Linked DNA regions of Oreochromis niloticus. The protein of the gene in region 1 interacts with the protein of each later gene in a pairwise test. Links are inferred from orthologs where the notes say so. Each region holds a gene or a part of one and is shown on either strand. Other genes may lie near its edges.

Region 1 (7,649 bases):
TTCACCTCCCGTTGGCTATTCTCACAGGAAGTGACACCCCCCCCACACCTTCCCTGTTATGTGACAGATGCGTTTGTGCTGCAGGACAAGTATACCTGTACACACCCCAAGTTACTGCCTAAATAAAGGTCCACCCTGGCCCCAGCAACATCTGGAGAGTTCACAGCAGACGTCCTGTGGACCAGGTTACAGTAAACTGTGAGCCAGATGTGCCTGACACACCCAACAAATCTGGATCTTTAAGGTGGACTCTGCAGGAAACTGCAGATGCAGGGCACGTCTGGGCCAAACCGCTCTCTGAGAGAGTTCTCTGCTTGCTGGTTACCCGAGCCCTCATCGGCGGGTCTGCGCCAATAACATCTGCAGCGATGCCAGATGCGGGCGGAGCTAAAAACAGGTTTCTGTGCTGCAGGAGAAAACTGGTCGCATGCTGTTTTCAGCACCGTGAAGTGAACCCGGTCCTGTTCTTCAGAACTGGAGCTTTTTGTTAGACATGTACCTTCACTGCCCCACCTCCCCCTGCCCCGCTGCTGCTTGGAGACACTGAAACCCATCAGAAGATGTCACTTCCTGTGTCAAAATGGCATGTAATCAGAGCAAGACGTTTCCTCCCGTCACCTGAGCTGAACAGTGATTCACATCTGATTGGATTCACTTAAAATTTTGACATGTTTTTATTTTCAGCGATGTTGTCCCGTCTGCGTGAACTGAGCTGCCATCCCTCCCCGGTTCCACTGATGGTTCGCCTGGCTGTGCTCACAGGTAAAGTTCACACAGAGTACACTTTTGACCAGCTTAAGTTTTCTGTCTTTGTGTCATGTCAGCTGATCCCACAGCGCCTCAGAGCGTCGCGCCTGGTAAGAGATCAGTGGCAAAGTAGCATCACTGCCCGTGTGTGTGTGTGTGTGTGTGTGTGTGTGTGTGTGTGTGTGTGTGTGTGTGTGTGTGAGAAAGAGAGTCCTGAAAGCCATAGCAGCAGAACAACATAAAACCAGCTGTGAGGGAGCTCACCTGCCTCAGGTGCAATCAGAAGACTCGCCTCTTTCAGATTTTTAAACATTTAGTGTCAGCTGACCACCATCAGTCACGTGTTTCTGCGTTAAATCTACGCCATAGCATGACGAATCCTGACAAATGCAACTACACATCGACGCAGCCCATGATGAGTGTGATCGGTGCAGCTGTTTCCAACTTCTTCTGCCTCACACAATTCCTGATTCAAGAAAATCGACTGGCAAAATCTCCTGCGCCAACTAGTGCCCTGCATCTCCGTGCTCTACATCTATTAGGCTGCAGAGCGCCTAATAGATACATGAATCATGCTTCACTGCGACAGCAAGGCAAGAACACTCAGCGGTCCTCTGGATATCGGTGGTGGCCTTGCAAACTGACACATGACTTCAGGAAGTGAGGTCATCATGTGAGATCAACGAGCCAAAATGTTCCAGTAGAATATGAATTGATGAGCGTCTGACTCCATTACAGACGGTCAAGTGACTGATTTCCAAACTGAGTTCTGCCTCTCAGACGAGGCTTGGGATGGCATTGTATTCTGAAATGGATGGGCTCTTTGATCACATGATGTGACGTAAGATCAGTTCAGAGTTCGGGGTGGTCCCGCTGATTTAAAGCCAAAACTGAGCTCCTCCAACAAAACCTACAAGAAACCTAATCCTGCAAACGGATGACACAGACATAGAATGCACCTCCACACGAGTCCCCAGACACCGCTGCCTACACGCCATGTGACAGTAAGAGCCAGCAGTGGAGTGAGCTTGTGATGAGGTTACACAGTGGAAAAGCAGGACTTTGATCAGCTGTTAAAGATGTGACGGCGCCGTGCAGCTGCTGCAGTTACATTAAATTAGGGAATGACCTTTTTATATCCCATCATAAACTTCATCATCATCATCATCACACTTTTCCAGAAATATGCAGATAGGATTTTAAGAATACCTTAAAATGTTCAGGCTGGTTAAATCCTCAGTTTCTAATCACAGCCCAGCTCAGAGTTTACAATTTTAAATGCTGACACATTGTTTTTTCCCCACTTTCAGGTCAATTGTGATATGCAGTTTTTCACGAGTTATTAATAAGAAGAGTATGCCTTAATCATGTTATTACCAGAACAAGTCATTTACACTCTGATCAGCTGGTTGCTGTTCACAGGAAGGTCTCAGGGCTCAATTTATCAGCCGACACGTGACAGTCTAGGTTCATATCTGATGTGTCTGCTGTCAGGTGTGTTTGAGCTTTGTGAGGTTAAAGGTCACAGGTCAGAAACCTACCTACTCTACTGATCAGTAATCAATAAAAATAATAATGTGATCACTGTGAAGGGTGGATAAAATAAATCTGGCCTCTGTCACCAGACTCCACTGTAAAAACCACTCAAATCAGAGCCCCCATCCTGTTTACTCTAAGTCCCCTCCGGGCCCGCAGGCACGCGGTGCGGGCTGTCAGTCACCGGCAGACAGGCCGCGAAGGAGCCACCGAAGTGGGAGCGAGCCCGTGGAAAGACCGGAGGGAGAGGCCGGCCACACCGCCGAGCTAAAATGGAGATTACAGCTCGGCAGAGATTAGCTGCTCCAAGCTAACCCCTGTTAGCGTGGTCCACACCGGAAGTTACGGTGATCGCTCCTCCAAAATGAAAACACAAAGCGTGACGAGGAGTGAGCGAGACCACCGTCAGGGCACCGCGTGCATCACAGCGCGTCTCAGTGACAGTCAGACATTCCCCGAGGGACCGTCAGTGAACCCGGAGCTCCTCCGGATGCTTCAAAGCTCAAAACTATTCGTTACGACTTATATTTTGAAAGTAGCCACCGGATGTGATGCGAATAAAACCGGGCGTTTACTGAGCGCTCTCTCTCCCGCAAACAGCCCCGCCGCCCCCGCACTGCCACCCGCATTCAGCACCGAGAGCAGGCCGCGAGCATTTCCTTCACCGCCTGCCGCCCAGGCGGCCACGAAGCCCGGGCACGGGCCCGTCCACTCACCGTGGGTCCCGGAGGCCGGCGGAGGGGCTGCTGCTGTGGGGTTCCCGGGCTCCGAAGGGTCCTCCGCGGACGGTTTGCTGTGGAGACGAAGGAGCAGCCTCTTCTTCTTCTTCTCCTCCCGCAGGATGAAAGCACTTCCGCAAAGCCCGCCGCGCCGTCAAGCCGCACATAGCGAGGAAGTCCAAATAAGGAACTTCCGGTCAGAGTGGGGCCCTTCAAAATAAAGTTAAATAAAGTTTTAACGTTTCAAAAATAAGTTTCTGCCTTGATGGTTCGTTTAAACTCCGTGCAACTAAGCTGACACCATGGGAACGTGTGGGAATGTGTCGCACAGTGAAAATAAAAAAAAAAGTAAAATGAAAAACTGTATCTGCTCAACCCACCAGCCACACACAGAAAACCTGCGTCACAGATACTGAAGTTGTAATAAAAAATTTAAGAACTTTAACCCAGCGGGACATGTTTAACTGCAACAAGCAGCAGTTCACAGGTGGGCATTAAATCATAATAAATATACGTTTCTGGCTTGGACGGGGCCTTTCACAGTTAAATAAATAGTGTCAGAATTTTGTCTTCATTGAAAACGACCACAGGAAACAAAGTCTGCTTTTATTTTGAAAATAATAACCGGAAGAACTTATTTGTTTTCTCTCTCGCTTGTAGGCTTGCGTGAGGCCTCCCGCCACCCACATTCAGTCAGAGAGCAGCAAGGAGGTCTCACTCTGAGCTGAGCAGGAGACTCCGCCTGAAGAAGCAGCAACGTCTCACTCTGTTTCGTCCACCCATCAATCATATACGAGGTGGCCCATACCTGAACGATCTCATCACTGCAGCTGCAGCACCAGTCCGTCTGTTTCAAAGTAGCCTGCGATTTGGAGGCAGCACCTGATGAAGCCAACAGTACCACATCATCTGCAAAATTCAGAGACAAGATGCTGGCAACGCCCAGATAATCTGCCCATCATCGGTGACAAAGGGCGTCCTAGGCGGAGCCCAGCACCCACCGTGTCCCACTCACTGCCAGGAATGTGGACCACACCTCACAGCATACCCGCTGTGGTCAGTAATAATCAGTACTGCTGATCATCTCAGTGAACACCAGCCTAAGAAAACATATTTACACAGGTTATGAGTCACTTCAGTCACCAATCGAGGTACAGTGGCCCAGCTGTGAAACAACCAGGTGTACACATATGTGCCTTAAACTCAGATTACTCTGAGAATACTCTGAGTTTCAGATTAGACGGAATATGATGGGGTTTAGTCCCTGAGCTGCAGAGCTGAGGCGTGTTTGTGAGTCTGTCTGCTGCACGGTGTCGGTGTGTGTTGTGTCACGTGATCGTGCCCCCTGCACGGTGTCGGGGTCTTATGCTGCTGGCTGACAGCCTCTGATCGGTTTCACTTTTTTTTCAGAAAATTATTGATGGCACGATGACGTCATCTTTCCTGCTCCGCGTTTATTAAATTACTGATCAGCCTTCGAACGTTTCTGACGGCTCACGTGACCGCCCCATTTGACCCATGTTCTCGCGAGAGGTGACGCGGCTCGTCGCGAGATCCTCTGCAGCAACAAATCGGCTCCGATTCTGAAGACGATCTGCTCGTTTCTGCGGTAAGGCGCTCATTAACGGCGCGCGTGCAGGACCCGCGCGAACACGGGATTGCCGGGCGGTGGGAGCGTGAACACGCGCCCGTGTGCGCGTGTGTGCGGAGGTGATGAGGACGTGCGTGTGGTGAATGAGATGAAGGATGGAGGATGCTGCGCGGCGGCGGGCGCGACGGCACGTGCACGCGCAGAGCTGGTGTGTGACTGGGTCGCGCGGGTGTCCGGTTTCCGGTGTGGTCGGGTCAGTTCGATGTGAACACCCCGCCCCTCCCCGTGCATGCGTACGTGTGTGTCAGGTGCAGGTGACCTTCACTGAGGTCAGAGGTGGCGTCTCCAAGTAAGCCTGACAGACTTAATGTGACGTCACAGGGTTAAACGACACCTTAAGAGTTTTTCAGGTCTGAATGTGAAACCCTGCTCTGTGTTTGTGTGTCTGTGTGCCTGTGTGTGTGAAAGTGTGCATGTGTGTGTGATTTGTGTTTCTGAGTGTGTGTGCGTGTGTGTGTGAGAGAGTTGCTGAAGATAAGATAACTCTTTATTGTCATTGCACACTCATACCTTGTACAATAGTACAATGAAATTGGAAACTCCCACGTCAGCACAACTAAAGACAACACAGTTACTTAAAGTGGATTTTTTTTCAAAGTGCAAGGAACCCAGACAGTGGCATGCGTGCGCCCCTGTAGGAGCTGCAGTTCCTCTGATGTCCCCCAGACGCTCCAGCAGTGAGCGGTAGAAGAGGCTCCTCCTCAAACAGAGGAGCTTCATCAGCTCTTTTAGTGAATGAACCTGCACCCACGCTCTGTTCTACAACATCGACCAACCACAGTGCACGAGAATCAGGAGGGCTCTACCTTGTGGCGTTATTCAGCACTTACACGTTAAGTACTTACTGAGCTAAAGCAACAGGATTATCGGTAACACAGCAGCAGCAATGGACTTGACCGACTAGAGATATATATATCATCTTCTATCACCACAGCTGCTCCTCTGCTTCGGTGTCACAGTGAAGTTCCTCCAACCTTCTCTGAATTTCTTCAAGACATCCTCCATCCTGTCGCACATTAATAAGTGTGTATGTTAAATGTATGCGTGTGTGCAGTGATGATGGAGGTCAGAGTGTGTGAGGAACCACAAACCGCCCAGACTGAAGTCCGAGTGTGAACTTGTTGGGCTCGGGTTTGTGTTTCAGACGGGGTCATGGAGGTGTCGTCGCACAGCCTCTTCCTGCTGCAGCAGCTCAACGTGCAGAGGGAATTCGGTTTCCTGTGTGACTGCACCGTTGCCATTGGAAACGTCTACTTCAAAGCTCACCGCGCTGTGCTAGCCGCCTTCTCCAACTACTTCAAGATGATCTTCATCCACCAGTCCAGGTGAGGGGTGGAACAGCGGCATTTGAACTCTGTACCTGAGTAGAAGTTAGTTATACACCTGTGCTTTGGGTCATCACACAAGTACAGACAGTATAAAAATGGGCATGTTTTCTGAGAACCTGAATTCTTTTAAATCCCCATCAGGTGGTGACTCCTCTGATGCTCGAATCCTTTGTCCTGATAAATTTGTTGGCTTCCTCAACCAGCTTGGGTTCCAGGTCAGAGAGGAGGATTATCTAGGGCAGGGGTCCCTAATCCCACTCCACAAGGGCCGGTGTCCCTGCGAGTTTTAGATGTGTCCTTGATCCATCACAGCTGATTTACATGGATACATTACCTTGACATGTCTTGAAGTTCTCCAGAGGCCTGGTAATGGACTAATCCTGTGATTCAGGTGTGTTGACCCAGGGTGAGATTTAAAACCTGCAGGGACACCGGCTCTCGTGGACTGGGATTGGGGACCCCTGATCTAGGGCGTGCTAAACGTACGTTCTTCAGTCAGATCTGCCGCTTGCTGTCATTGTGACGGGAGTGATGAAAAGGACTTCACTAACCAGCCGGTGACAGTCTCTGCGTCGATCCTGTCATGAAAACGTTACCAGACGACCTGCTGTTAGCCAGCTAGCTGTGAGTTAGCAGTGCAGCATGAATCCAAAGAGGGTTCGCTTGTCTGAAACCATGCAGCTGCAAATAGTTCAGCCTAGGGAGTTTGGATGAACTGGCCAACCTTATCCATTAAAGACAGGATTCTACTGCTTGTTGGCAGGCGCGTTAGTGTTAGCTAAGATTAGCCATGAGAAAGACAGCTCAGGATTGGATTTGCTCTCCACAACCAAACCGAATGTTAGCGTTAACTACAAACTTGGAGCTTGACTGGTCAACCAGTGGCTAGCTGTCAGCTACAAACAGATGCACTGTGAGGACATGTGAGGACAGTTTATTTGGCCTTAGCTTTTAGATGAACAGCGGTGTGTTTGATTTATAACACAACAAAAAAATAATGAATGAAATTTAATGTTTTATCCCAATTATTTTGTTTTCATAATTTTTAAGAAACAATCAAAAGGTAATTAAAATCCAAATATGATTGATCAGCCCTAAAATGTGTTTAAGGCTAGAATAATGCTGAAGGCTTGTACCGGTGTTTGTTCCTTTATTCCAGGATCTGGATCCTGTGATCCAGAATAGAGGGACAAAACTTTGGTCCAAACCTTCAGGAGAATATCGGTCCAAAACATCAGGATGCACATGCTGTTTTTTTTCCGAGGTGCTGACCTCATGTCTCTCTGTGTCCCCAGCGAGTGTATAAAGATCCAGCCCACGGACATCCAGCCGGACGTCTTCAGCTATCTTCTGCACATCATGTACACCGGTATGTGTCCCAAACAGCCGGTGGACCACAGCCGGCTGCAGGAGGGCATTAAGTTCCTTCACGCCTACCAGCTGTGCCGCAAAACTGGAGAGGGTGCTGCTGAGACTGCCAACAACGTGGTCCGCATGTCCAACCTCTATGGCATTCAGATCTCTTCCCAGCTGGCCAGCAAGGAGGGACCCGGAGTCCCCAAGACCACCACGGTGTCCCGCGGGGCCGAGGATGGGCGATCCTCTGACCGAGGGGCCCGGTCTCACTCCCAGCTGTCCCTTGCTGTCGGACTCGAGGGGGTATCGTCG
Region 2 (7,541 bases), on another chromosome or scaffold:
CGTCTGTGTCTGGGTGTTTGTCTGGCGCTGTGCGCCAGCAGAGACGACTCTGTAAACAAAAGCGATAGCCGCGACAATGCCCAGTCTGTGCTTCGGTTTTAACCAGCAGCTAACTCTAGGGATTCACATCTTGCATGTAAAAGAAAATAAAAGAAACATCCTGGACATCAGTCTGAACGCGTCTCATTCCGGGTAGATTTTTAAGACTGAATTAAGTAAGCAAATTGAATAAAATGTGAAAATATATTGCGCACTCTGAGCTCGTAACAAGGAGCTTCAACTGTGCACTTTTTGCTTAAGCTGTAAGGAACACACCACCTCTCTTGACTACACTACTTCATACCACCTACAGGTGGTGGTTTTTGCATGGGATGGGGTGGGGGTGAGGTGGAGGGTTCTGCTTTGGCAGGCATCACAGCTCATTAGCCCGCACAAGCTTCAACCTTAGAAGGCAAAAGGCCGCAATATCATTCTATGACATCTGTCACCAAGGTTTTGTTGCGTTTCTTTACAGCTGTGCTTCATAACGAAACCATTCTTTTTTTTTTTTTCTTTGCAGATTTCGAGCCTTCATATGTGATTAACTCCAGCTCCAAAGATGCCAATGGGGAGCCAAAGGATGGTGTTATGTCTGATGGTATGTGGGATTCAGAGAATGAATTTTGATTATATATCATACAAGATGTCGGTAATTACATGAGCACCATTCTCTCTTAATGTAGTTTGGCTGGAGGATGAGGGCATGGAGATCAAAAGACAAATCACAGGAATGATGAGGCTTCTGAGCGATAAGACCAGCAGAGTATACCAGCGTGCTGGTACAGAGCAGGATAGCTTAATAAAGGAGCCCCAGGAAAAGCCTCTGAACTGGGTAAATCAGCCTGCACTTTTATCTCTGGTGTCAGAGGACCACCAGAGCAACAGCTGGAACTCTGCAGAGGACCCAGGGCCTTCACCTTCATCCATATCCATCCCAGTCCCAAACGGCCCAGGCTGCGGCCAGTACAGCACACGCTCCAGAGCCCTCAGGATTCTCAACAGCACAAAGGATTTAATCAAAGTGAATGAAACTAATGGTAGGATATGCATGTTTGAAAGGAGAAAACTACTAAACAAACCTTAAGTTATTTGAAGAATAGTGAATTTCATTAAATATTGAGTGCTGAACACCAGAAGTGGCTTACACCTTTGTTGTTACATTAAAGCATGTTTGCACCTGTGTGCATATGTTAGAGTGAACGAGCGCTAACAAATGCATCCCTCATTTCCCAGCAGATGTAGTTCCTCCTACTGTGCCAGAAACCCCCTGCTGTATGTGTAACTGTAAGGGCACCTTGCAGGCTATTTTGCAGGAACTACGTGCCATGAGGAGGTTGATGCAGACTCAAAAAGGTTAGTAAATGAATACCAATACACACCCTAAAATAAAGAAATAAAACACAATATAATGTTTTTCTGCCTTTTAATAGCATCTTTAGAAAGGCAGGAAAGGGCAGCACCACCATCTCAACCTCGCCTAGGTGCAGGACCCAGTCCTCGCCACAGACCTCGAAAGAGGAGGCCAATCTATAGGATGACTCCGTTATCCGTGTTTAGCACCAGAAGAGCTGGTCTTGCTCCTCTGGATGCATCACTGCTAAAAGCTGCACCTATGGAATCTGTAAAGAGGCGAGAATGTGAGAAACAAGACTCATCTACACCCAACAATCATCCCATCTCCTCTGACATTCCTGTGCCGCCACCTCAGACCAACCCAGTGACGATCAACAACACCCCTCCTCTCCTGAACCAACTAAGGGAATCACAAGCATTAGAGGTAATCTGTACCTTAGTGTGGATGTACATATGCAGCAACATGTGTGCTTACCAAGCCTCATTTGCATGCTTAATTTGATTCAGGTACACTGCACCTGTCTTATGAATTTGAACGTGTATGTGTATTTGCATGTAAAAATAATTTGCAGCCTAAACTTTGCTTCTTTTGTGAAGCTCCATGCCTAAAAAAAAGTTTAAGTACCTTGATTTTTCCTTGTTTTTTGCCTAATGAGACATAAACCTTTGTGCAAACATTGCGGTTTATTTTACAGCACATCTATGATTCGAGCTAATGCTAGAAATGAAGATAACGTCTTCTTGCTTTTTCTTTCTAAAAACTCATTTATATTTCAACTGGTGATATTTATTTAATCCTTTACAATTAACACTCTGTGTTGCTTGACTCCTTCACAGTCTGAGGTGCGTCTTGCAGAGGATTATGACGTGTTTATCTCTAAGGCCCAGCTAGACTCCATTCTGGTCAACTATACACGCTCAGGCAGCCTGCTGTTCCGGAAACTGGTGCACGTCTATGATTTTTAAAAGCATTTTCTCCTGCTCTGATTATTTTATAATCGTGTGAAATGTCAACAAAGAACAAAAAATGCTGCTTGGTCAAGAGCTGTGCTGTGTGTTTAGGTGTGTGCCTTCTTTGATGACGCCACGCTGGCTAACTCCTTGCCAAATGGCAAAAGGAAGAGAGGGCTAAATGATAACCGTAAGGGCTTGGACCAGAACATTGTGGGTGCCATTAAAGGTAGGGCAGAGAAAGACAAACTAAAGTGTAACTACATTTCTGAGCAAACATTAATGTAACTATGGTGTGTGTCCAGTTTTTACAGAGAAATACTGCACTGAACACAAAATAGAGAAGTTGCCTGGACCACGAGACTGGGTTCAGATCCTTCAAGATCAGATCAAACTTGCAAGGAGGAGGCTGAAAAGAGGTTCTGCTGCTAAATCATTTAAATCATTTTAATATTTTCCCTTGATTAATGTGCTAGAGGAAGCCCATTCCTTTAACAGTACTTATAAGCCAGCTCATTTCAAGGCTAAAGAAAAGGCTGTCTGTCAATCTATGTTGTCTTTGGCTCTTCAGATGCTGTAGAAGCAGAAGACATCTCAAATGGACCATCCACAAGTATTAAACTCATTATTATGATTTTTACACTTAAGGTGTCTGCCACACGTGGGCACACACACAGACACATACATTAATTCAGTTGTCTGTTTTGACCATTTTCTGGTAGCTGGTTCCCTTCATGTCAGCCCTCCATCTTACAAAATCTTTCCATCAGCCCCCCTCTGAGTACACAATGGCTTTACCTCTCCCCACATCATTGTCACAGCATACACACACACACACACTCAAGCTGGTGTTGCCAGCTCGCTCATTGGCTCATCGGTCTTTGTCATGCTGTCACAGTGACTTTTGACATTTTCATGCAGCTTTCCAAAATGTCAGCTAATTATCCTCACACCATGCCGCATATCCACTCTTTCACCTCTATATTTCACCCTCATTGTCACAATAGTATTTCATTTTGTTGCCATGCTCATTCATTAAGACATCTTTTTGGTGATAATATATATCATTTTGACAATATTTTCTTCCTTCTTTTAAAGGCTGTGATAATAAACAGGCTGCAAGTGAAGAGAGGACAGCAGCGAACACAACTGGTTAATCCAATGGCTGCCACGATGACCTTACAGTAGAGTCTTGTCTTCATTATTTCTCTGAGTTGATGCATTTTGCCACTATTTGCAGCTGTTAACTGCTATGTGCTATGGATGTAAAGAGACATAAAATATGACCAAACAAGAATCCCAATGCAGTATTTGTGATCCAAAAGGCTTTTCATTGGGGCCACATTAAAACGCTGAGATTTGGAATTTTGTGAAAATAAACACTGAACTATACAGCGGTTAGGTAATGAGATCGGTCACTTACTGTTTACATAAAAGACAACAGCCTTAAAAGCTAACTTGTTTTATTTTCATGCAATTAAATAAAGATCAAACATCTCAAATGAGACTAAGTACTATAACAGTATTGCGTTCATTTATTTAGCAAAAACTAAACGTCACGGGAAGCTGTTCATTGTGAATTGTGCCTTTCAAGTAACTTTAGTGGGTTTAATGTGCAGTGCAGCATCCACCTTATATCCTGACATTACATCCAAATGCAAACATCTTGTAAACATGGTCCGATGTATTTCTTTTTGGGGCAAATTTTAACTCATTAAAAAAAATCTGCAAATTAACAATAGGTTTGCAGTCTACATTTGGTGAACATATAAAAATATATCACACACTATAAATGTTTTTTTTTTCTTTATTAGATTTTTAGGCTATGCATACCACTGCAGCTGGTGTCAATATTGTGATGGCATTATGTATTTTCCTTTCATTTTTGCTAACTGTACATATATTTAAAAAAAAAAGTTGATCCCACCATTAAATCTACTTTATCCAAAGTTGCTGTTCGTGTTTTATTTTTTTAATATATTGTGGAAAGTATAATTACCAAAACAAAGCACTCAAATATGTTAAAAGAAAAGTTTCAAATTTAGGCTAATTGTTATTAAAACATAAGCTAAAAATAATAAAATAAAAGTTCTTTTATCTTTTATTAGGGTAACTTTGAGCCAGGCAATGTTGTGTTGCTGTAGTTGCACTTGGAGGGAAACAGTAAATTAAAGGTACACTCCATTGTTGAGATTTTGTTGCCAGACTTCACAGCTCATTAAAGGGGATGTTGAAGCCGCCAGTGTGCAGAAGGAGGACCCTTTGAGATCTGGTTAGTTTCCTTCTTGCATTCTAAGTCACACATTTTTTATAAAGGTGAGCAGAGGTTGGATACATTTTTTTAAACACAATATGCTTAATTACTCGCGATACTTCGACAGTTTTATTCGCCTGGACCGATGTTAGAAGTCAAATATGTGTCACTTTTCGTCAGGCTTTCTCGCAGGGCAGCCGTTTGTAGCCCCGGTGCATGCTGGTGCCTTCCCCGCTCTTCTGTCGGGATCCGCCGCTAACGTGAATCTGGTAAGGATAAAATGGTCAGAGCAATTAAAGGGGAAATGTTGCAAGAATATACCTCCGCTTTGGTCCTAAAATCACATCTAGAGCAGTTGTAAACACTTCTATTGCACCGCAGCGTTACAAAGTTTGCACACGTAGCAGGTGCAGCGCGGTTTTATTCGCGTTGACGCTGATGTTGCACACATCGCATGGCGAGGGACAGGAAAGGGTTAATTTTTTCCGCCGCCGACATTTTTGTTCGGCGGTCTACGGCAACTTCTTAACTTACATGTGCTACGAGCTGACACTGCGACTCAACGCTACGCGTCACGTTTAGGTCGCAGTGTGCATCTTATCTGTTTTTAGATGTGCGGCAGGTCTTGGAGTGGGCTGCTCATCGGCTCTTTGTTACACAGAGCTGTTCAATGGCTCCTGCATGTAGCAGCGTTTGCTAGCAAGAGCTAGCAGCAGCAGCAGCAGCCAAAACTGCATTTTCAGCAAAACAAACAGACGTAGAGGGTGTAGCTGTCATTATCAACGCACGTGTCTTAAAGCTGAGCTACCGACAGTGTGTTATGCCGCTCACATCACACGGAATCACTCACACATCATTACTTTTATTGTTAGCCTGTGCCCAAGGGTTGAATGAACTTGGGATCATTGCTTGTCTTGAACACTACCCCACTATACCAGTAACGGGCCCCCTTCAGCAGCTCACGCCGGTTTATGTTAAAAACCAAGATTATAAGTAACACCCAACTTGCACGGCGTTTCAGTTTTATCAACTATATGGAACTTATTTTTAGGAACACAAAAGTTTATTACATTTTCAGTGATTGGAGAGTATGGGGGGAAAAGCCATTTAGGTGATGCCACATTCATTATTGTGCATTTCAATTTTAAAAGTATCCGACACCCCGTTGCCTTCAAAAAAAAGAGAATAAAATAATTATAAAAACTAGTATTTAACAAATTAAAAACATTTAATAACAGCTGTGCATTAAAATCACCATGCAGTTTTTATTATTTATTTGCAAACTTGTTTCAATCACAAAATACAACACGCCTGCAATAATATCACACTGATCTTTGAGTCATGTTTATAGTGGTAATTTCTAATGTACTTAGGTGTTCCTAATATTTTGTCAACAGAGCTCCGGGACAATATTAAATGTCACTTCACCGCGGAAGATTTCTATCATTGCAGCAAAAGAGATGCCATTGCATTATTTTGGTTGATTTATTCTTTCCAGCGTTGCTCCTACAGATGTTGTACTTGGCTCCGATTCACTTGAAATGTTGCACTGTTGTGTTGTGTCATTTGTGCAACTTAACATTTGCATGTATTTTCTTGACACACCCAGACACTGTTTGTAATCACCAGTTTTATTTATTTTTCATAATCATTGATGTGGTTCTAGTGGTGCGGACCCAGAGCTTCTTCAGATATGTCTGTGAGGGAGTCTTTTAACCCTGAAAGCTATGAGCTGGACAAGAACTTCAGGCTCACGCGGTTTGCTGAGCTCAAAGGCACAGGCTGCAAGGTTAGCTGTCCACACAAAAATCTGCCTTGAATGTGTTATTTTCTTTGCACAGATTAGTGAGGAAATAATGCATCGAAATTGTGGTAATTTTCTCTAATCACAGGTCCCCCAAGATGTGTTACAGAAGCTGCTAGAAACTCTGCAAGAGAACCACTATCAAGAGGATGAACAGTTCCTGGGGGCGGTTATGCCTCGATTAGGTAATTCTTAAACTCATATAGCACATGAATAGCAGTGCTTGCCCCCCCCCCTTTTTTTTTTAAGCATAGCAGAGAGATCATGTTGGGGCTCTTTTCAAAGTGAAACAGAAGTCATTGTTTGAGGTTAAAACAAGTTTTGTGGCCGGACTGGAAACCGTGTTGTATATTTAAAGCTTGTCCCACCTCCACTGGTGCTCAGAAATTAAAGGCAAGAAGTGAAACTTGACCCTTGGCTTTAAAATGGACAGGTCACAAGTGCACACACTCTAAAATATTTCATTAAGAGAGATTTTCTTTATGAAGGCATCGGCATGGACACATGTGTGATCCCCCTCCGGCATGGTGGCCTTTCTCTTGTCCAGACAACAGACTACATCTATCCCATTGTGGATGACCCTTACATGATGGTAAGTACCTTCCCTTCTTCATTAGCATTGTTTTTCTGGTTTTCTTTCATTAAATTACTTTGCATACCAAACCTGTATGTGATTAATTTTCATGATCTCTTTTCTATAGGGAAGAATTGCTTGTGCCAATGTTCTAAGTGACCTGTACGCCATGGGAGTTACTGAGTGTGATAACATGTTGATGCTTCTGGGAGTCAGCAACAAAATGTCAGAGAAAGTAAGACACATCTTGCTTAAATGAAGGTACACTTGCTGGACACTTTACTAGTACCGGGTTAGACATCCTATTGGCTTCGCAAATGTTTTAATTCTTCGAGATTCACCAAAGTGCTGAAAACATTTCTTGGGAGATTTTGGTCTATATTGACATGATGGCTTCACACAGTTGCTGCAGATTTGTTGGATGCACATCCAAAAATCCATCCAAATTTTGACTTTTATCATCCAAGTGTGGCACCACAAATTGAGACTCATCAGACCAGGCAACATTTTTCCAGTCTTCAGTTGCCCTGTTTTGGTGAATTTGTGTAACTGTAGTCTCAGTTTCC

The links. The genes of interacting proteins can lie anywhere in the genome.
Region 2: the proteins of zbtb25 (region 1) and sephs1 interact in binary tests that used the Homo sapiens proteins (3 or more experiments, as listed by UniProt). The two-hybrid records come from large-scale screens. The link is inferred for Oreochromis niloticus from reciprocal best matches to the Homo sapiens genes ZBTB25 and SEPHS1.

Annotation. Positions count from the first base shown.
Region 1 is NC_031980.2:25,892,462-25,900,110, forward strand, and holds the start of zbtb25 (zinc finger and BTB domain-containing protein 25), read left to right. Parts: upstream 1-4,645; 5' UTR 4,646-4,755; coding exon 4,756-4,801; intron 4,802-4,833; exon of another isoform or gene 4,834-4,942; intron 4,943-5,797; coding exon 5,798-5,978; intron 5,979-7,276; coding exon 7,277-7,649. UniProt on the Homo sapiens protein: May be involved in transcriptional regulation.
Region 2 is NC_031972.2:55,926,559-55,934,099, reverse strand, and holds the start of sephs1 (selenide, water dikinase 1), read left to right. Parts: upstream 1-4,539; 5' UTR 4,540-4,615; intron 4,616-4,640; exon of another isoform or gene 4,641-4,659; intron 4,660-4,777; 5' UTR 4,778-4,866; intron 4,867-6,263; 5' UTR 6,264-6,290; coding exon 6,291-6,386; intron 6,387-6,489; coding exon 6,490-6,586; intron 6,587-6,889; coding exon 6,890-6,993; intron 6,994-7,102; coding exon 7,103-7,210; intron 7,211-7,541. Other genes in the region: bend7 (BEN domain-containing protein 7), read left to right, coding at 560-637, 723-1,076, 1,273-1,392, 1,470-1,816, 2,230-2,337, 2,455-2,572, 2,649-2,762, 2,915-2,956 and 1 more. UniProt on the Homo sapiens protein: Synthesizes selenophosphate from selenide and ATP.